Macaca mulatta: one gene and its partners. The protein of the gene in region 4 binds, or shares a complex with, the protein of the main gene of each other region. Links are inferred from orthologs where the notes say so. Each region holds a gene or a part of one and is shown on either strand. Other genes may lie near its edges.

What was found.
Region 1: the proteins of GTF2F1 (region 4) and CTDP1 are in contact, whole or in part, in an NMR structure (PDB 1ONV), measured with the Homo sapiens proteins. The link is inferred for Macaca mulatta from reciprocal best matches to the Homo sapiens genes GTF2F1 and CTDP1. Residues at the interface, in NP_002087.2 of Homo sapiens: Thr470, Lys471, Leu474, Gln478, Ser486, Thr489, Val490, Leu493, Ala494, Leu497, Lys498, Leu500, Asn501, Pro502, Arg504, Met511, Phe513; in NP_004706.3 of Homo sapiens: Ala946, Asp947, Met949, Ala950, Lys951, Ala952, Leu953, Glu954, Glu956, Leu957, Asp959, Leu960, Met961.
Region 2: GTF2F1 (region 4) and GTF2F2 share a complex: the UniProt entries of both Homo sapiens proteins name them as parts of the TBP-based Pol II pre-initiation complex. The link is inferred for Macaca mulatta from reciprocal best matches to the Homo sapiens genes GTF2F1 and GTF2F2.
Region 3: GTF2F1 (region 4) and ERCC2 share a complex: the UniProt entries of both Homo sapiens proteins name them as parts of the TBP-based Pol II pre-initiation complex. The link is inferred for Macaca mulatta from reciprocal best matches to the Homo sapiens genes GTF2F1 and ERCC2.
Region 5: GTF2F1 (region 4) and POLR2G share a complex: the UniProt entries of both Homo sapiens proteins name them as parts of the TBP-based Pol II pre-initiation complex. The link is inferred for Macaca mulatta from reciprocal best matches to the Homo sapiens genes GTF2F1 and POLR2G.

What each region holds. Positions count from the first base shown.
Region 1 is NC_133423.1:1,268,906-1,272,417, forward strand, and holds part of CTDP1 (RNA polymerase II subunit A C-terminal domain phosphatase), read right to left. Parts: intron 2,057-3,512; coding exon 1,890-2,056; intron 803-1,889; coding exon 1-802. UniProt on the Homo sapiens protein: Processively dephosphorylates 'Ser-2' and 'Ser-5' of the heptad repeats YSPTSPS in the C-terminal domain of the largest RNA polymerase II subunit. This promotes the activity of RNA polymerase II.
Region 2 is NC_133422.1:24,430,842-24,434,859, reverse strand, and holds the start of GTF2F2 (general transcription factor IIF subunit 2), read right to left. Parts: upstream 2,805-4,018; 5' UTR 2,658-2,804; coding exon 2,592-2,657; intron 1-2,591. UniProt on the Homo sapiens protein: TFIIF is a general transcription initiation factor that binds to RNA polymerase II and helps to recruit it to the initiation complex in collaboration with TFIIB.
Region 3 is NC_133424.1:57,886,730-57,890,241, forward strand, and holds part of ERCC2 (general transcription and DNA repair factor IIH helicase subunit XPD), read right to left. Parts: intron 892-3,512; coding exon 775-891; intron 688-774; coding exon 571-687; intron 246-570; coding exon 122-245; intron 30-121; coding exon 1-29. UniProt on the Homo sapiens protein: ATP-dependent 5'-3' DNA helicase. Component of the general transcription and DNA repair factor IIH (TFIIH) core complex, not absolutely essential for minimal transcription in vitro.
Region 4 is NC_133424.1:7,269,509-7,273,739, reverse strand, and holds the start of GTF2F1 (general transcription factor IIF subunit 1), read left to right. Parts: upstream 1-1,425; 5' UTR 1,426-1,667; coding exon 1,668-1,679; exon of another isoform or gene 1,680-1,744; intron 1,745-1,763; coding exon 1,764-1,810; intron 1,811-2,684; coding exon 2,685-2,757; intron 2,758-4,231. Other genes in the region: adenylate kinase isoenzyme 1, read right to left, coding at 809-992, 1,359-1,424. UniProt on the Homo sapiens protein: TFIIF is a general transcription initiation factor that binds to RNA polymerase II and helps to recruit it to the initiation complex in collaboration with TFIIB. It promotes transcription elongation.
Region 5 is NC_133419.1:11,297,807-11,301,754, forward strand, and holds the start of POLR2G (DNA-directed RNA polymerase II subunit RPB7), read right to left. Parts: upstream 2,804-3,948; 5' UTR 2,713-2,803; coding exon of another isoform or gene 2,700-2,712; coding exon 2,688-2,699; coding exon of another isoform or gene 2,554-2,687; coding exon 2,444-2,553; intron 1,156-2,443; coding exon 996-1,155; intron 1-995. UniProt on the Homo sapiens protein: Core component of RNA polymerase II (Pol II), a DNA-dependent RNA polymerase which synthesizes mRNA precursors and many functional non-coding RNAs using the four ribonucleoside triphosphates as substrates.

The DNA of each region.
Region 1 (3,512 bases), on a different chromosome or scaffold from region 4:
GCGTAGTAGTCGGTGTGCACACGGACCAGGATCTCCTCCAGGTAGATGAGGTGGTCATCCTCGTCCGTGTCCTCCTCCTCCTCCTCCTCCACACTCTGGTCCAGGGACTCGCCCGCGGTGACGCCTGACAGCTCGCTGTTCTGTGACTCGGTCTCCGCCTCCTTCCTGTCGGCACAGCCATTGCCCAGGCCGCAGAGGCCGTCCCGCTCGCCCTCCTCCTGCCCACCCAGCTCGGGCCCCTTGTCTGGGGCATGCGTGCCGGGCTCGGCCTCTCCGGGGAGACTCAGTGCTGCAGGCCGCCCCGGCTCCAGGGAACTGCCCTGAGCCAGCGCCCCGGCTCCCTCTGGAGCCGGGTTCTCCTCCTCCTTTGGCTTCTGCCGGCTTCTCCCCCCCTCACTTTCGCCGTCAGAGGCGGAGGAGGGAGACTTCGTGCCCTCGGACTCACTGCTGCTCTCGCTGTCGCTGGATAAGTCGAAGTCCAGGTCAGTGCCCGTGGCACCCTGGGCAGGCCGCTGTCCCGGTGCCGCCCGGCCACCCTGCACACAGGATCCTTGGGGCTCAGGAGTGCCTGCCAGCTCTCCACTGCTGGTGGGGGCCTGGGCAGCGGGCCAGGTGTCCCTCTCGTCCGGTTTCCCAGGGCGGGGCGAGTCCTGTGGGGCGGTAGCCTCACTGCCGTTCAGCTCCTGAGCCGGCTTCTCCAGGCCATTGCTGGGCTCCACTCCAGGGGCCTGCGTTCCCCACTCGGGCTCTCTCACGGGCGGAGCTTGCTCTGAGATCTCGGTGCCTCGAGAAGAATGATTTACTAAATATGCATGCAAAAGGAAAAGTTACCGCGATTCAGCATTAAACGTTAAATAACATTCCAAGTTAAAGCAGCGCCCTTCTTCATGGCTGTGAACTCTGCCACCCTCTAGACCAGGCCTTGGCAACCTTGCTGTGAAGAGCCTGACGGGGTGAGCACCCCTTACCCGAAGTGCATGGGGCCACAGATGTTTTGGACACTGAATGTGTTTCTGAGTTTGGAGTATTTGCGTTAAACTTACCACTTGAACATCCCAAATCTGAAAAATCCAAAATGCTCCAATGAGTATTTCCTTTAAGCACCATGTGGGCAACTCAAAAAGCTCTGGATCTGGGGGAGGAAGGATCCTCCGTCTATAAGAACAACTGGAGGTCTCCAGGCTGCAGACCTGGCGCCACCATGGCCACAGTTTCCCAAGCCCCGGTCTGGAGGAAGTCAGCAACTCCACGCTGACCCCAGCCATCTGGTGAAAGCCTCGGCCTCCTACAGGAGGGACCCCAGTCCCACCCTCTTCTGGTTTCAACCTCCAAGTTCCATTTTAGTGACTAGAGCAGCAAATGTACGCCTCAAAATATTTTTTTTTAAAAACTAAGGGTCAAAAACACTTAACTTTTCACAGGGTGGACGTCAGCCGCAGGCCTGCCTGACAGGTTAAACCACGCTGCTCTCTGGGCCCAGCCAGCGCCAGGCCTGAACACTGCACTCTGGGGACGGTTCTTCCCTACACAGCCACTGCCCCCACATTCGCTCTCTCTACAGAATGCCAGGGCCCGAGGCCCAGGCGTGTGTTTAAGGAAAACTGGGATGAAAGGAGTTATTCACATGTTAGGTTAAACAGTATCCTTTAGTTTTTATTCAACTGGGAAAATGCTTAAGTGAGGGCCATTTTTTTTAAAGCCCAAATCAAAACGACATAATATCCTGTTTTCCAGTACTATATACATAAATCCAATAACCTCTATTGAAATACAAATAAAAAATCAAAGTGTATCTTGAATTTAGAGCAGTCAAAATAGAGATAAGAAATAAGAAGAGCTAAACAATAAGCAAATGTAAATTCTAGAGAATCAGGAAGGAGGTTACCCACCTTTCTTTCTCGTCTGAGAGTCTCGGGACCCAGGGGGCGCATTCATATCACCTGTGCCCTGGAAGTACACGTATTTCTTCACAGTTATCAGATTGGGGGCAAACTTCCAGACATCTTCTCGATCATCAATAATGCAAACCATTGAGTCTCCACACGGAAAGAGGTTTCTACAAGTGAAAATGCAAAATTCACACAAAATAATAATGAAAAGAGTTTAAGATTCTAACCCACATGTAACCAACAGACAGCAGGTTCATCAGAAACTGACACCAACCGCCCCGAAGCCCTTTCTGTTTGGGTCACATTTAAACCTCAGTAACATCTTCTCCACAGCTTCTGATTCTCCTTCAAGCCGGAGTTCGCAAACTGTTTCTTAAAGCGCCAGAGTCACTACTTCAGGCATGAAGGGCCACAGGGATGAAACCCAACTCCGACCGCGTGGGCATGGCCATGTTCCAATAAAACTTCCTGTACAAACCAGGCTGTGTAGCCTAAAGGCCAGAATTTGCTGACTCTGAAAACAGCCCGGGATGGGCTGTGTGGCTCAGGCCTGGAATTCCAGCGCTTTGGGAGGGCCGCTTGAGCCTCAGAGCCTGAGACCAGCCTGAGCAACACGGTAAGACCCCGTCTCTACAAAAAATACAGAAGTTAGCCGGGTGTGGTGGTGTGCACCTGTAGTCCCAGCTACTCAGAAGGCTGAAGTGGGAGGATAGCTTGAGCCCAGGAAGTCAAGGCTGTGGGGAGCTGAGACCACACTACTGCACTTAGGTCTGGGCAACAGAGTTAGACCATCTCAAAAACAAAAAAACAAAAACCAGACCTACTGCCGATGCAGAATTTCTAAGTGGACCTACAGCTACCTCCATGTAAACCACAGTGCCCGCCACTAGGGCCTATCCTGGGTGTGTCCCCATTCGATCCTATCATTCTGCCTTCAGGTGACTTTTCCCCTTAACACGTCACTAACAGCACCTCTCATTCTCTTTAGCCCTGATCAATCTGCTCACTCTGGCGCTAACTAGCAAAAAGGAGGTTTCTGAAGTACTTTCAGAGTCTCTTCTTAGTTAACATCAGCTTGCATAGGCCTCACAGTCTGCGTGGACTCCCTAAATGTAAAAACCGAAGCACTGGGAGGCGGCGGCCACCGTGAGCCAGGAAGCGGCTGAAGCTGAAGCTGCGACCGCCAGGGCTCCTTGGGAGAACAAGCCACACCTGATGCGTTGCAACAGCAGGGACGGACTTCCGGGTGGAAATGGGGAAATTCCTCGTACAGAGTGGGCAAGAAACGCCAAAGAATACAGAAGGATATAAAAAAGTCTCTACGTAGGGGCAGGGAGGGGCCACCCTGTCAAAAAGGCTCAGAGGAGCTGAGAAGAGGAGGCTCTGGAGCTCATGGAAAGGAAGAAATGGCAAAAAGCAAAAAGACGGGCAAAAGTCATGTGATTTAGGATTTTATAAATTATCAGTAGGATTAACACAGGCAAGCTCCTAAGAAAACTATAAACCTCAGATGCTGACGCTGACGTCAAGAACTGCTCCTAAACCAGGAGCCCCACAGAGCTGCTGAACTTGTGTGTGGGGTGGGGTTATCCACATTCCTGTGCCCACTCGGGTCCCTGAGTC
Region 2 (4,018 bases), on a different chromosome or scaffold from region 4:
TTCTTAAACATCACCTTCTCTATGATGTCTTTCCAGTTCTGGTGAAGCATTAATTTTTTTCCTGCTCAAAACTCTAAGAGATCTTGTATGTACAGTCCTTACTGCATTTACACAGTTCTGTAACTGGTGATGGAATTAAATATGTACAAGATGACCTTGATATATCCTAGGAAGAAACATTTTTCAGCAACAAAGATCAGAACTCAAGGTATTATTTTTAACAGAAAATATTAATGTAAGGAGAAAAAACTTGAAATCAATACGTAGTTCAAATAAAATTCTGATGAGATGAGAATGAAGACACACTTTCTAAGCAACAAGTTACTACTTCTTTTTTTTTTTTTTTCTGAGATGGAGTTTTTGTTCTGTTGCCCAGGCTGGAGTGCAACGGAGCAATCTCAGCTCACTGCAACCTCCGCCTCCCAGTTTCAAGCAATTCTTCTGCCTTAGTCTCCTGAGTAGCTGGGAATACAGGCGCATGCCACCATAACCGGCTAATTTTGGTATTTTTAGTAGAGATGGGATTTCACCATACTGGCCAGGCTAGTCTCAAACTATTGACCTCATGATCCACCTGTCTCGGCCTCTCAAAGTGTTGGGATTACAGGTGTGAGCCACCGTGCCCGGCCCAATCCTGTGATGATTTTCTAAATGTGACTCTGGTTACTTACCCTCCCCTCTAATTCGTACTGCACACTGCCAAACTTTTTTTTTTCTGAATAAATATTTGGCATCTCTCCCTCACTCAAATCCTCCAAAAAGTTTGTTACTTCCTTGTAAACTAAAGTTAGAACATCTCCGTTTCATGATATGACAATCTGAGTATATGGTCCCAACCTTTATCTACACAGATCTTCTGCTCTAGGTTCTCTCTGTTTTCCACGACACACCATGCTGATTATGTATTTTGAGTCTTGCATTTCTGTTCCATTCCCCATGGTATATGCTATGTCCACCCACCCAAATCCTGTAAGGCGTAAACACTGAGCATTTACCATGCTCCTAGAACAATGGCACCATCTCAAGTCACACCATTTTTTCAAGCTTTTTCCTTCAGTCTGCAAGGGCCATCTCCTCCTTAGTGACTCTCCTCCAATTAACACGCTGCTGGAGAGAGAAATGCCTATTTAATTCATCCTTTTAAGTCACACTGAGCTTGGAAATAAGTCAAATCAGTGCCACAGATTAAGGCGAGGGTTAAAGAATGAGAGGTCATGCATTTATTCATCACCTTTTTGTTGAGTAATTACCATGTGCCAAACACTATTCTGGGTATGACAGGCAAAGATCCAATCTCATGGAATGTGATTTTGTGTGTTGGAAAGACGGAGGTAACCAACTTTGAACATATTAACACAAAATCACTCTACACTGTGAAAAGTGCTTTGAAGAATGTAACGGCCAGGTGCGGTGGCTCACGCCTGTAATCCCAGCACTTTGGGAGGCCAAGGCGGGCGGATCACGAGGTCAGGAGATCGAGACCATCCTGGCTAACACGGTGAAACCCTGTCTCTACTAAAAATACAAAAAATTAGCCGGGCGTGGGGGCGAGTGCCTGTAGTCCCAGTTATTCGGGAGGCTGAGAGAGGAGAATGGCGTGAACCTGGGAGGCGGAGCTTGCAGTGAGCCAAGATCGCACTACTGCACTCCAGATTGGGCGACAGAGCAAGACTCTGATTCAAAAAAAAAAAAAAAGAAAAAAAGAAAAGAAAGAATGTAATACGGATCTGTCGTGTTAGCAAATGATCATAAGGGAGCCATTTTTAAGAAGGCCGACAAGAAAGACCTCTTAGATTTAATTGACGAGAACTCAGCCATATGATAAATCAGTTAAAGCATTAAGAAACCGAAAGTCCTTACATTTTAAGTCTCAACGACTTTCAGGATCACATTTTGAATTTGCTTAAGTATTATGAAACTCCCCTAGGAGAAAACACTTCCCAACATGAAACAGTAAAGCACAAATAGTGCCCGCTGTGAGCCAACCAAAATTGCTGTCTTTACATAAAACATTTATTGACGGCCAGTTTCATCAGACCCAAATGTGCTCTGAAAGAATACTCCAGTCCAATGACCTCTCCTGACCTCTCCTTCTGTTTGTTCAGGGCTCTCTCGCCTCTTTTGAGAGCTTCATTAAGGACCATTTACCTAAGAGAATAAGAGTACGCAGGGACCAGTTCTAGTTTCTCGCCGAAAAAACTGTACAGAAAGCAGACATTCAACTACCTCACACAGGCTCATGGCTAAAACCAGTTTCACCAAGGGAAAGATACAAGTAATTCTTCGGTCTGGGATAAAATGCACCGCCCAAGTCTAGGAACACCAAGACAGGGCTCCAGGAAAGCCGTGAGAAAGAGATCTAGTCCAGGCTGATTCAGACCAGTAACCGGCTGAAAGACACTTTGCGTCCCTAAACTAATCTCCTCATCTGCAAACAGATACAACAATGACTCCTGCCTCTCAAAATATGTGAAGCTCTAACGAGATAGCCGTAAAAGAACTTTAAGAGGTGCACGGAGCGGGATGGGCTCAAGTTACTTAAATTATACTTGTGTTAGGAGGAGCGCAAGTGGGAGACTCGTGAACATTACCTTGACTAGCCACACTCCTGTGTTCTGTTTGGCGCCGGTCAGGTCGAGTTCCCCGCGCTCGGCCATGGGTCTGTTGCCGGTGGACGCGTGTGGCCTACAGCAGCGACACCAGGAGCCGGAGGGCTGAGAAGTGGGCGTCCGGAACAAAGGGCAAGCCGCGCTGAGAGGTGAAGAGGCGGCGTTCCTTACCTGCCAGGACACTGGAAACCGGGGGGAAAGAGGAACACGCCGCCGGTAGCCAGACTGCGCCTGCGCACTGTACGTTCGTACGGCGCGCTGTTGCAGACAAACTTTCTGTTTCGGAAATTCCTTGGGTGGGCGTGGCTGTCAGCGTAGTGTGTATCTGAGGGATTAAAACATAGGGTAAGATGAGCCAAAACGTTAGCAACGTATTTAAAGACATGGCCAGCATAACTGAAGAAAAAGATTATCAGAACGGAAAAACGGGGTTCAAAGAGACAAAAGTTGTCAGAACGTGTCCAACCCTAGCCAAAGAGAGAGAAAGAATATTTGAAGGACAGGCTTAGGTTAGTAAATTGGCATCCCCCCTGGCCAACGTCATTAGCACAAGTGGGCACTGGGATCAGACTTGGTAGCCCTGGGTATATTGAAAACATGCCGTTTCTAGACCTGAAAAGAAAGCCGTGTTTCAGCTCAGAGGCTGCCCGAGCTCCTCTGATTAAGCAAGCAGAGCACCTCATATTCCAAAACCCGAAGGTCTGTGACGAAACGAACAAGTAAGAGACAAAACTGATCGTTTCCTCCCCTGCTTAAAGTTTTCTCTTTCTCTTCTTGCCTCTAGAATAAAATTCAATCCTCCTGCTTCAACTGGGCCCTCTTAATTTCATCCGTTTTCCCCTCCCACCATTACTCCACCATGCACCGAACCGCACCAAACCCAGCAGACTTCCCGGAACACGTCAGAATCTTCCTCGGTCATTTCAGAGCCTCTGCACACTGGATTCCCTTCCTTGGAAGCCCTCTTTTACCCCTGCCCTCACTCCCACTCTTTCCTCTGGTTGGCAAACTCCTACTTATGGTTCAAGACCAATGGAAATGTCACTTCTTATGAGATCTTTTATCAACTTCCCCAGAAGAAATTAGTTTTTCTTCACATCACAGTGTGATACTTAGCACTCTGCACTATAATACATATGTTTACATATCTGCCTTTGCTTTCCAGACAACGAACTCCTCCTAGGCAGAAAGAGCTTTATTGAGGTATAATTTACAAATAAAAAATGGTGCTTTATTCATGTTATATCCACAATGTATAGCACAGTGTTTGACACATTGTCAGGTTTCAGCAGGCTTTGGGTGAAAGAACATTCGCTGAAGAGAAACAAACAGTAAGGTATTGTTAAGAAGGGCAAGTAATGTATTGAATCACACATCAGAGCCTTGCACAAAATTGAGGAAATTTTATG
Region 3 (3,512 bases), about 51 Mb from region 4:
GACGCTCATGGAGTCGATGCAGACGTTGTCTGGAGAAGAGGGAGAGAGCCGGCTCAGGCAGGCCTGCAGGGGCCTCCCTCAGAGGGGCTGGCGTCCCTTTGGCCCCTGGCGCTCCCCTCACCAATGTTGTGGGCCTCGTCGAAGACCACGACGGCCTTGCGGGCCAGTTCCTTGGACACCAGGTCTGCAATCTTGGGGTCCAGGAGGTAGTGGTAGCTATAAACCACCACGTTGGCATGCAGGATCTGGGGGGCCAGGGAGCAGGGTCACCAGGGCCCTGTCACCCCAACCCCTACCCCCCTACCCCTGGCCAGGTGGGCGTCCGTCTCCCGGGCGGCGCTGGCCACACTGGCCCATCATTCCCACACAGGCCTGCAGAGGCAGACACCGGCCAGGCAGAAATATGAGCAGATGGATAGAGACAGACCGACAGACATGGGCACCCATCAACAGGGAGATGCAGACAGGCAGACTCACAGCAAGCAACAGACAGGCATGGGCAGACAGGAGACGGGCAGGCAGCCCACAGCCTCACACTCGCCCCTCTGCCCGTCCCACCAGCCTTCTCACTGAGTATCGAGCAAGGAAGTATGGGCACCAGCCCTGGCGCCGCCCCAGGGCCTTCAGGTCATCCAGGTTGTAGATGCCAGCGGGGAGGGGCACCTCGCGCCCATGGGCATCAAATTCCTGGGACAAGAGTGCCAGGGGTCAGGGAGGCTGCCTGCCCCAGGCCACCCATCCAGCCTCCCTCCCTCAGCCCTGCCCTCCAGGCACCTCATAGAAGCGACAGTGGGGCAGGCTGGTGTCATGCTGGTACTGCGCCCGCACATAGGAGGCTGTGAGGCTGTGGCATTTCCCATCGACATCCTTCCCAAAGCGCAGGGGTGTCACCTGGGGGTGTGGGGCATCTTAGCACCCAGACAGGGTGGAAACCCAACCACTCTTCAAACGCAGGTCTCCACACCTCCCAGTTGGCTGGGGTTTTGGACAACTTGAACCTCAGTCTGTTGCACTATTAGTTAAGACACATGGGAACTTAATGCAGGGATATAAGAGTAGTAAAACTGGACTGGGTGTGGTGGCTCACGCCTGTAATCCCAGCACTTGGTGAGGCCGAGGTAGGGAGATCACGAGGTCAGGAGTTCGAGACCAGCTTGGCCAACATGGTGAAACTCCATCTCTACTAAAAATTAGCCGGGCGCGATGGTTCACGCCTGTAATCCTAGCACTTTGGGAGGTCGAGGTGGGAGGATTACCTGAGGTCAGGAGTTTTAGACCAGCCTGGCCAACATGATGAAACCCTGTCTCCACTAAAAATACATTAGCCAAGCATGGTGGCACGTGCCTGTAATCCCAGCTACTCGGGAGGCCGAGGCAGGAGAATCGCTTGTACCCGGGAGGCGGAGTTTGCACTGAGCCGAGATCACCCCACAGCATTCCAGCCTGGGCGATAGAGCGAGACTCCATCACAAAAAAAAAAATAAAAATAAAAATACAAAAATGAGCCAGGCATGGTGGTGCACACCTGGAATCCCAGCTACTCGGGAGGCTGAGGCAGGAGAATTGCTTGAACCCAGGAGACAGAGGTTGCAGTGAGCCGAGATCATGCCACTGTACTCCACCCTGGGCGACAGAGTAAGACTCCCTCTCAAAAAAAAAAAAGAGAGTAGTAAAATTGTTACATTCTTACAAGTTATACATATATATTTTTGGAGACAGGTCCCTCTGCTACTCAGGCTGGAATGCAGTGGCGCAATCACAGCTTACTACATCCTTGACCTCCCAGACTCAACTGATCCTTCCCCCTTCAGCCTCCCGAGTAGCTGAGGCCACAGGTGTGCACCACCATGCCTGGCTAATTTTTGTCTTTTTAGTCAAGATGAGGTCTTGCTATGTTGCCCAGGCTGGTCTCAAACTCCTGGCCTCAAGCAATCCTCCCACCTCAGCCTCCCAAAGTGCTGGGATTACAGGCTGAGTCACTGTGCCCAGCCAACCAAAACTAATATTTTAAAACAGTAAGCCTTGAAAAATCTTTAGCATATAGATTGAGGATAATTACTTCATCCTTGGAAATGCCAAAACACATGGAACTCTGGCAGGGCCTAAGAATCAAAGGAGGTGCTGCAGAGTCTGGGACTCCCCTCACCCCTGACCTGCTCTGTACCCTCTAAGGTACCATCACAGCCTAAGGCTATCTTTCCCAAGAACAAATCCTTCTCCTACACCAAAGGGAAAGCTCCAAGGCAGCCAGCCCTTCCCTCTCCATTTCCCCTTTCATCAGTCACCGAGGCCTGTGCTCTTTGTCATCCACTAGATATATTATTTCTCATATATTCTTACAAATAATGTGATGCATAGTCTGTGGGCCCAGTGTGGGAGTTTGAGATCAGCCTGGCCAACATGATGAAACCCATCTCTATTAAAAATACAAAAAACTAGCTGGGCGTGGTGGAGTGCGCCTGTAATCCCAGCTACTCAGGAAGCTGAGGCAGAAGAATCGCTTGTACCTGAGAGGTGGAGGTTGTGGTGAACCGAGATCACGCCACTGCACTCTAGCCTGGGCAACAAGAGTGAAACTCCATCTCAAAAAAAATAACTAAGGCTGGGCACGATGGCTCATGCCTGCAATCCCAGCACTTTGGGAGGCCAAGGTGGGCGGATCACGAGATCAGGAGTTAGAGACCAGCCTGACCAACATGGTGAAACATCAGCCTTCCAAAGTGCTGGGATTATAGGCGTGAGCCACCATGCCCAGCCAAGTACAATGGTTTTATAGCATAATTTAATAACAATTAACATTGTATTTGTCATATATTATGTATATAAATATCATGACAATTTTTTTTTTTTTTTTAAGACAGTCTCACTCTGTCCCCCAGGCTGGAGTGCAGTAGTGTGACCTCAGCTCACTGCAACCTCTGCCTCCCGTGTACAAGCGACTGGGATTACCGACATGTACGCCACCACCCCTGGCTAATTTCTGTATTTTTAGTAGAAATGGGGTTTTGCGCCGGGCGCGGTGGCTCATGCCTGTAATCCCAGCACTTTGGGAGGCCGAGACGGGTGGATCACGAGGTCAGGAGATCGAGACCATCCTGGCTAACACGGTGAAACCCCGTCTCTACTAAAAAATACAAAAAAAAAAACTAGCCGGGCGTGGTGGCGGGCGCGTATAGTCCCAGCTACTCGGGAGGCTGAGGCAGGAGAATGGCGTGAACCCGGGAGGCGGAGCTTGCAGTGAGCTGAGATCCAGCCACTGCACTCCAGCCTGGGCGACAGAGCGAGACTCTGTCTCAAAAAAAAAAAAAAAAAAAAAAAAAAGAAATGGGGTTTTGCCGTGTTGGCCAGGATGGTCTCGAACTCCTGACCTCAAATGATCTGCCCACCTCAGACTCCCAAAGTGCTGGGACTATAGATGTGAACCACCGCACCCGGCCTACCATGAGAAATTTTTTTTTTTTTTTTTTTTTTTTTGAGACAGAGTCTCGCTCCGTTGCCCAGGCTGGAGTGCA
Region 4 (4,231 bases):
ATTATAGGCATGAGCCACCACGACCGGCTAATTTTGTATTTTTAGTAGAAACGGAGTTTCTCCATGTCGGTCAGGCTGGTCTCAAACTCCCAACCTCAGGTGATCTACCTGCCTCGGCCTCCCAAAGTGCTAGGATTACAGGCGTGAGCCACCGTGCCCGGCCGTTTACTCGTTCTTGTCTCCTCCATGCCAGACTCGACTCCATGAGGGCAAGGACTATTTCTGCCTCCCTCATTCCTATATTCCTAGGAGTTGGCAGTTCCTGACATTTAGTGGTGGATGAGGAATAAATGAAACCAGACACATCGACAGTGTCTGTAGTTCATGGCCCAATTTTTGTGTCTTGCTCCCCTTCCCTTTGCTTAGCCAACTCCTATGCATCCCTCAGTGCCCAACTGAAACCTCCCCTCTTCTCTGAGCCCTCAGAGCCCACTGTGCTTCTCCTGCTCCTTCCTGGGTTGTAGATTCCCATGTTATGAGTCTGTCTCCCCCACGACACTGTAACCCTCGAGAGGACACTGTAACCCTCGAGAGGACACTGTAACCCTCGAGAGGACACTGTAACCCTCCGTTGGGAGCTGGTTTGACAGATTCACCTTGCGGGGCCCCGAACCCAGGAGGTGCTCGAGTATTTCCGAAGTGGAGCAATGAATGGTTGCGCCGTGAGCATGCGCAGTTGTGTTACTGCCATGACTGGGGCGTGTGTGCATGCCTGGAACGGGGTAGGGGATCCTGCATCTCCCTACTGTTCTCTGCAGCCTCCTTCCCTTCCCCCCAGGAAGCCAGCCAGCCGCCCCCGCGACGTTACCCTTCTCCTGGGGCCTCAGAGCCCTGCCCATCTCGGGCAGCTTGGACTTGCAGAGACCCATCCAGCCAGCAGGCCTTGGGGTGGTCGCTCCCCGACCCCGCCCAGGCTCTGACCCCTCCTGGCTCCGCACAACGTCACAAGGGTCCCCGCCCCGGTCATTTTGCGACAATGACGGGGTCCATTCCTTCGGGGGAGGAAATGAACCCCAAACAGGCCCATGGGGAGCCAAGCAGCGGTTCGACCCAACCGGAGTAGGCCTCGGTTGCTATGGTGACGCGGCCTTCTTGGCCCTCCCCAACCCCGGTCCAGAGCGATATGGCGCATGCGCAAAGTGCCTGGGGGCCCGCAAGGAGGACTCTTCTCCCTCTCCCCACCCAGGATGCCCCGCGGTCCTTGGGTGTGACGTCACGAGGGAGGGCGGCCCCCCATTTGATGAAGTTAACTGTGTTGTATAAAAGAGCGCCAGCGACAGAGGCCGGTTAGTTTATCTCAGACTCGGCCTGGGTTTGCTGAGTCTAAGAAGGGACCGTGGTGGCCCTTTTGAGGTGACCATAGCCGCCGAGGAGCATAAGTGACTGCGCATTGAGGCGGCCACAGTGGCTAAGAAGGTTGCCATCGCGACGCGGCCGCTGGAGGGTTTCGCTTCCGGGTTAAGCGGCCGCAGAAGCGTAGACGGAGTAGCTGCAGCGCCTCTTCCGGTTACCTTTTCCCAGTGCCGGAGGCGCCTGGGGTTGGGGTCTTCGCTCAGGGACAGAGACCCGACAGCGAGCGGCGGCTTGCCCGGGATCGAGGGACGCGCACGCCAGAGGAGACGAAAGGAACCCGGGTCGGACCAGATCGGAACCACTGACCATAGCCCATGGCGGCCCTAGTGAGTGTGGATTTGGCGGGGTTCCGGGGTCCCGACGGCGACCTCGGCAACTCCTCACTCACCGTCCGGTTCCTCTTTCCGCAGGGCCCTAGCAGCCAGAATGTCACTGAATACGTCGTTCGAGTTCCCAAGTAAGTGTCCAGCCCCATCTCCCCCTCCTCTCCACCCTCCAAAAATGAAAACCTTCACGGTCTTCTTAGCCAGGCGTTTCTGGCCCTGTCTGTGATTCTCCCTCCAGACTGGGAGAGACTTGGAGGGCAGGGCTGGGATTAAGCTGAGGCTTCCCTGGAGACAACCCTGCTTTTTTAAACGAATGAATGAATGAGTGCATTAATAACACGGCGATCCAGCCCCCTGGCCTAACCTTCGATCCCATGATGCTCAGGCCAGCTGTAAAGAACATATTCCTCGTCCTGTTTCAAAATGGTCGGGCTATCTTTCCTTTCTAGGCTTTTGTACATCCTGTTCCCTCTGCCATGAGTGCCTCCCCTCAACCCCTAAACTGTGACTCTGCTGGGTGAATTCTTGTTGATTCTACAAAGCTCAGCTCCAGTATCTTCCTCCTCCAGGAAGCCCTCCATGCCTGTCCTCCCTCCTCCCCAAGGCTGAGTTCACAATAATCTCCACATCTTGGGTTCCCTCAAATCTTTGTCCCTCCATCTGCTCTTCTTCTGCCTGGGGTCAAGAGGGGATGGGTCTAGCTTCTCTGGCAGACTGGGAATCCTTGGAGTCTTCTGTATCCAGTGTTGCCAGGCAAAACAGGCTGAATGAATCGAATCGGGGTGGGTTTGTTGAGTGATTGAATTGAATAAATGATTCAATTGAATGGAATGATTGAATTGAATTGATGGTTCAATTGGATTGAGCGATTGAATTAATGATTTGATTGAATTAATGATCCAGTTGGATGGCTGATTGAATTAATGGTTCAATCGCATTAATTCATTAAATTAATGATTGAACTGCTGTATTGGATTGACACCACCTCTTTCTAATCCACTCCAGGAATACAACCAAAAAATATAATATCATGGCTTTTAATGCAGCCGATAAAGTCAACTTTGCTACGTGGAATCAGGTAAGTCCCTGGGTCCTGGGGGTTGGGAGCTGGGGTGGTGGGAGAACATGACCCTGACCTTGGTGATTGTAATAGTTGCTTAACTGTCATAGTAACTAAGTCTTAATTTTCTCACTTTTCTCAAAATGAAGAAAAGATAGATGACAAAGGATTGGGTGCAGTAGTTCACACCCCTGATCTCAGCACTTTAGGAGGCCGAGGCAGGAAGCTTGCTTAAGGCTAGGAGTTCAAAACCAGCCTGGGCAATGTAATAGCAAGACCCCAACTCTACAAAAAAATTAAAAAATTAGCTGGGGCTGGTAGTGTGGGTCTGTAGGCCTACATAGGAGGCTGAGGTAGGAGGATCGCTGGAGCCCAGGGGTTCAAGGCTGCAGTGAGCTATGATTGCATCACTGCACTCCAGCCTGGATAATAGAGCAAGACCCTGTCTCAAAAAAAAAAAAAAAAAAAAAAAGTCCGGGTGCCATGGCTCAAGCCTGTAATCCCAGCACTTTGGGAGGTCGAGGCGGGTGGATCACGAGGTCCGGAGATCGAGACCATCTTGGCTAACATGGTGAAACCCCGTCTTTACTAAAAAAATACAAAAAAGTAGCCGGGCGAGGTGGCGGGCGCCTGTAGTCCCAGCTACTTGGGAGGCTGAGGCAGGAGAATGGCGTGAACCTGGGAGGCGGAGCTTGCAGTGAGCTGAGATCCGGCCACTGCACTCCAGCCTGGGGGACAGGGCGAGACTCCATCTCAAAAAAAAAAAAAAAAGAATGACAAAGGCCCAGGTCAAGCTCCTGGGTGTCCCTGTAAGTTAGGTTTGGTAGGCCCACCGGAGGCCTCTCCTTAAAGGAGAACATTCAGAAGTTGTGCCCACCGATGGGCATTTTTGACCAGGGTTTATCTGGGCAAGGGAGGGGACTGGGCTGGGGGCTTTCCCAGAGCCCCTGCCATCAGAGGCTCTAGAAAGGAGTTTGGGAGCCATTAAAGTGTTTTCAACTGGGAGGTTGTAGTGTGATCTGGCTGTTGTGGGGAGACAGACTGTGGGTTTGAGGGCAGTTAAAGGGAGACCGGGTAGAAGCAACTGGTCTGGTCTAGGTGAGTCCTGGTGGGCACTGGGGGCAGTGGAGGTTATGAGATGTGGCTGATTCTAGAGTGTTTTGGAAATGGTATATATGGACCTTAAATCAAGAGCTTAAGGGTAATTTGGATCATATTAGCCACATAGGTCACGATAAATGGTAACATTTGTAGAGATTTTGGTGCCTTAATGTCAGCAAATGTTGCACAATGAGATTCTTTTTATTTATTTTATTTATTTATTTTTTGTGATGGAGTCTCTTGTTGTCCAGGCTGGAGTGCAATGGCACGACCTGGGCTCACTGCAATCTCCACCTCCCAGGTTCAAGCCATTCTTCTGCCTCAGCCTCCCAAGTACAGGTGCCTGCCACCACGCCCAGCTAATTTTTGTCTTTTTATGAAGTTTCGCCAT
Region 5 (3,948 bases), on a different chromosome or scaffold from region 4:
ATTTTAAAGTATTAAAGAGCTTAGGCCTGTTAGTCCAAGATTTGAACACCTGTTGGCCACATGATCTTGGCCAATACACTTAACTTCTTCTAAGCTTCAGCTTCTGTAAAAAGCACCCACTGGCCGGGGGCAGTGGCTCACGCCTACAATCCCAGCACTTTCGGTGGCTGAGGCAGGCAGATCACCTGAGGTCGGGAGTTTGAGACCAGCCTGACCAACATGGAGAAACCTCATCTCTACTAAAAATACAAAAATTAGCTGAGCGTGGTGGCGCATGCCTATAGTCCCAGCTACCTGGGAGGCTGAGGCAGGAGAATCACTTGAACCCAGAGGCGGAGGTTGTAGTGAGCCAAGATTGTGCCACTGCACTCCAGTCTGGCGACAGAGCTAAACTCCATCTTAAAAAAAAAAAAAAAAAAAGGAAAGCACCCACCTTTTAGTCATTGTGAGTCTCTGCACTTCACCTGGCCCACAGTCACTACTCAATCAACACAGGCTTTTATTGTTATGACTATTAATGTTGACTCTTGCCCTCTGAGTTGGGCAGGGAAGATTACCATACAATTTGAAAGTGCAGCACAAGAAGTAAAGTGATGGCCAGGCGTGGTAGCTCACACCTGTAATCCTAGCGCTTTGGGAGGCCGAGGTAGGCAGATTGAGCTCAGGAGTTCGAGATCAGCCTGGGCAACATGGCAAAACCCTATCTCTACTAAAAAAAATACAAAAACTTAGCCGGCCATGGTGGCACCTGCCTTTAGTCCCAACTACTTGGGAGGCCGAGGCAAGAGACTCACTGGAACCCAGAAGGCAGAGGTTTCAGTGAGCCAAGATGGCACCACTGCACTCCAGCCTGGGCGACAGAGCAACACTCCATCTCAAAAAAAAAAAAAAGAAGTAAAGTGACTTAGCTGAAGGCACAGTTATGAAGTGGAGCCAGGACCCAACCCAGATCTACTGAGAGACTACCCCAATGCCTCCCCTACGTATGGTCTCACCTTGTTGACCTGAGTTACAACAGCATCCACGACCTCCCCTTTAAAGGGCCGGAAAACAATGGCCTTGTACTTAACTGGATAAAGGACAAAGCCTCGGCCTGGCTGGATCACACCAGCACCAATATTGTCAATGGTGGTGACAGCAATTACAAAGCCATACCTGCAAGGAGGATGAGAAACAGAAAGACATTGTGTGTCCAAGAGCCTCTAGAGACATCTGCAATAAAAGTCACTGAGCTCTTGGGAGTAGTGTCGGGGAGAGCAAAAGGACAAGTAGATAGCACCTCTGCTCCCAGAGAGCTTAATGACCAAGAGAAGACAGAACACAGATCAGTATGGGCCGGGCGCGGTGGCTCAAGCCTGTAATCCCAGCACTTTGGGAGGCCGAGACGGGCGGATCACGAGGTCAGGAGATCGAGACCATCCTGGCTAACCCGGTGAAACCCCGTCTCTACTAAAAAATACAAAAAACTAGCCAGGCGAGGTGGCGGGCGCCTGTAGTCCCAGCTACTCGGGAGGCTGAGGCAGGAGAATGGCCTGAACCCGGGAGGCGGAGCTTGCGGTGAGCTGAGATCAGGCCACTGCACTCCAGCCTGGGCGACAGAGCGAGACTCCGTCTCATAAAAAAAAAAAAAAAAAAAAGAACACAGATCAGTATGTATAAGACCAAATGCTGTTCTGGTAATTTCACAGTAAATGTACAAGAAGGCTGGAGTCCTTGAGGAAACAGATCTCAATCTTCGGGATGCCTGAGAATCATCTTCTTAAAATGCAGATTCTCAGGTCTGCCTCACAGAGTCTTGATTCTGTAGGGAATAAGGAGGCTCAGGAATCTGCATGTTCCTGCAGGTTTTTCTGATGCTGGAGGCCCAAGTACTCCACTGCCCTGGGCTGGGTCCCAGCTCATTAATATCACAGAAGGCCCTCAGTGCAAAGCCCAGAGATGGTCAAGTCCCAGTCTACTTCCTTCCTCCCCCAAACTTTCGATCCACTTTTTCTGGTCATCCATTCAGAAGATATATAGAGGCCCACGGTGTGTGGTCCCTGGACACAGGGGATAAGAGAAAACCAGCAGAATGACAGAGTGAGAGGAGACACAGGAACAATGACTACACTGTGAGCTCCACAAGAGCTGGCCTCATTCTATCTTGTTCCCATTCTACCTTGTTCTGAGCCCAACACGGGTCCTGGCACACACCAAGTGTTTTTAAAATGTCTGAGGAGTAAATGAATGAATGACCAATCTCAGCTGAGGGAAGGAAGTCTTATTGTCCAGCATTGCAGAGGGCGCCCTGGGAACCCAAAGCAGGAAGCAACTGGCTGCCTGAGAGGGTGAGCGGGGTCCCTAGAGTGGGTGGCAGGACTAATAGGAGTTGCGGATGGTTTGCAGGTATAGCGACCCGTGTGCGCATCGAACGATCTGGCGGCGCGGTGAGCTCGGCACTCACTTCCCTGTGCAGGTCCCCTCCACTTCGGTGAAGAGCTTCTGCTTCACCGTGTTGAGCAAGTTGGGGCCGAAGTAGCGCGGGTGCAGCAGGATTTCGTGCTCTAGGGAGATCTGCGGAGAAAAGAGGGATGGCGACCAGGCCACGCGCTGGGAGCTTATCAGACGACAAGGGGAGCCTCGCGCCGGCGCCTGGCCTTGCTCCTCCTTTCCACCCAGCCCTTGCCGCCACCCTGGGCCCTGCTCACATGGTAGAACATCTTCCCAGAGCATGAAGGCAGGAACAGTCCACACCTCCGACCGCCCCTGGGAATCTACCGGAAACACACTTAGCCGCCGCAACCCCAGTTCCGCGCCTGCTGCGACGTTGAGAGCGGAACTCCACCTCCTCCGCGAGGGCGGAACTCCACCTGCTCCACGGGTCTGATTGGGCCTTGTAGCCGTGGGCGTGAACCACTAAGCCCCGCCCCTCACCACCGCCCCGCCCCCCCACCGGCCATCAAACCACAACTCTCTTTTTTTTGTTTTGAGACGGATCTGGCTCCGTCTCCCAGGCTGGAGTGCAGTGGCGCGATCTCGGCTCACTGCAAGCTCCGCCTCCCGGGTTCGGGCCATTCTCCTGCCTCAGCCTCCCCAGTAGTTGGGACTACAGGCGCCCACCACCGCGCCCGGCTAATTTTTTGTATTTTTAGTAGTGACGGGGTTTCACCGGGTTAGCCAGGCTGGTCTTGATATCCTGACCTTGTGATCCGCCCTCCTCAGCCTCCCAAAGTGCTGGAATTACAGGCGTGAGTCACAGCGCCCGGCCAATTTTGTGTTTTTAGTAGAGATGGGGTTTCTCCATGTTGGTCAGGCTAGTCTCAAACTCCCAACCTTAGGTGATCCACCCACCTCGGCCTCCAAAAGTGCTGGAATTACAGGCGTGAGCCACTGTGCCCGGCCAGCAACTCTCTGAATTGCTTGAACCTGGGAGGCCACTGCACTCCAGCCTGGGCAACAAAAGCGAAACTCCATCACAAAAAATAATAATAAATAATAGCTACCACTTACTGCTTTCTTCCTAAATGCCAGACACTGTGTTAAGCCCTTTATATAATTATCTCCCTTAATTCTCATAATAATCTACAGAAATTGGTGTAGAAATAACAAAAAATTTACATGAGCCTTAGTCGAAAGGCCAGGAAGCTACAGAAAATAATGAAATTTAGGCTGGGCGCAGTGGTTTACGCCTGTAATCCCAGCACTTTGGAAGGCGGAGGCGGGCAGATCATGGGGTCAGGAGATTGAGACCATCCTTGCTAACACGGCGAAACCTCGACTCTACTAAAAATACAAAAAATTAGCCGGTACTCAGGAGGCTGAGGCAGGAAAATCGCTTGAACCCGGGGGGCGGAGGCTGCGGTGAGCTGAGATCGCGCCACTGCACTCCAGCCTGGCAACAGAGCAACACTAAGAAAGAACGAAAGAAAGAGAGAGAGAGAAAGAAAAAATTTAAAAGCTATTGCAATC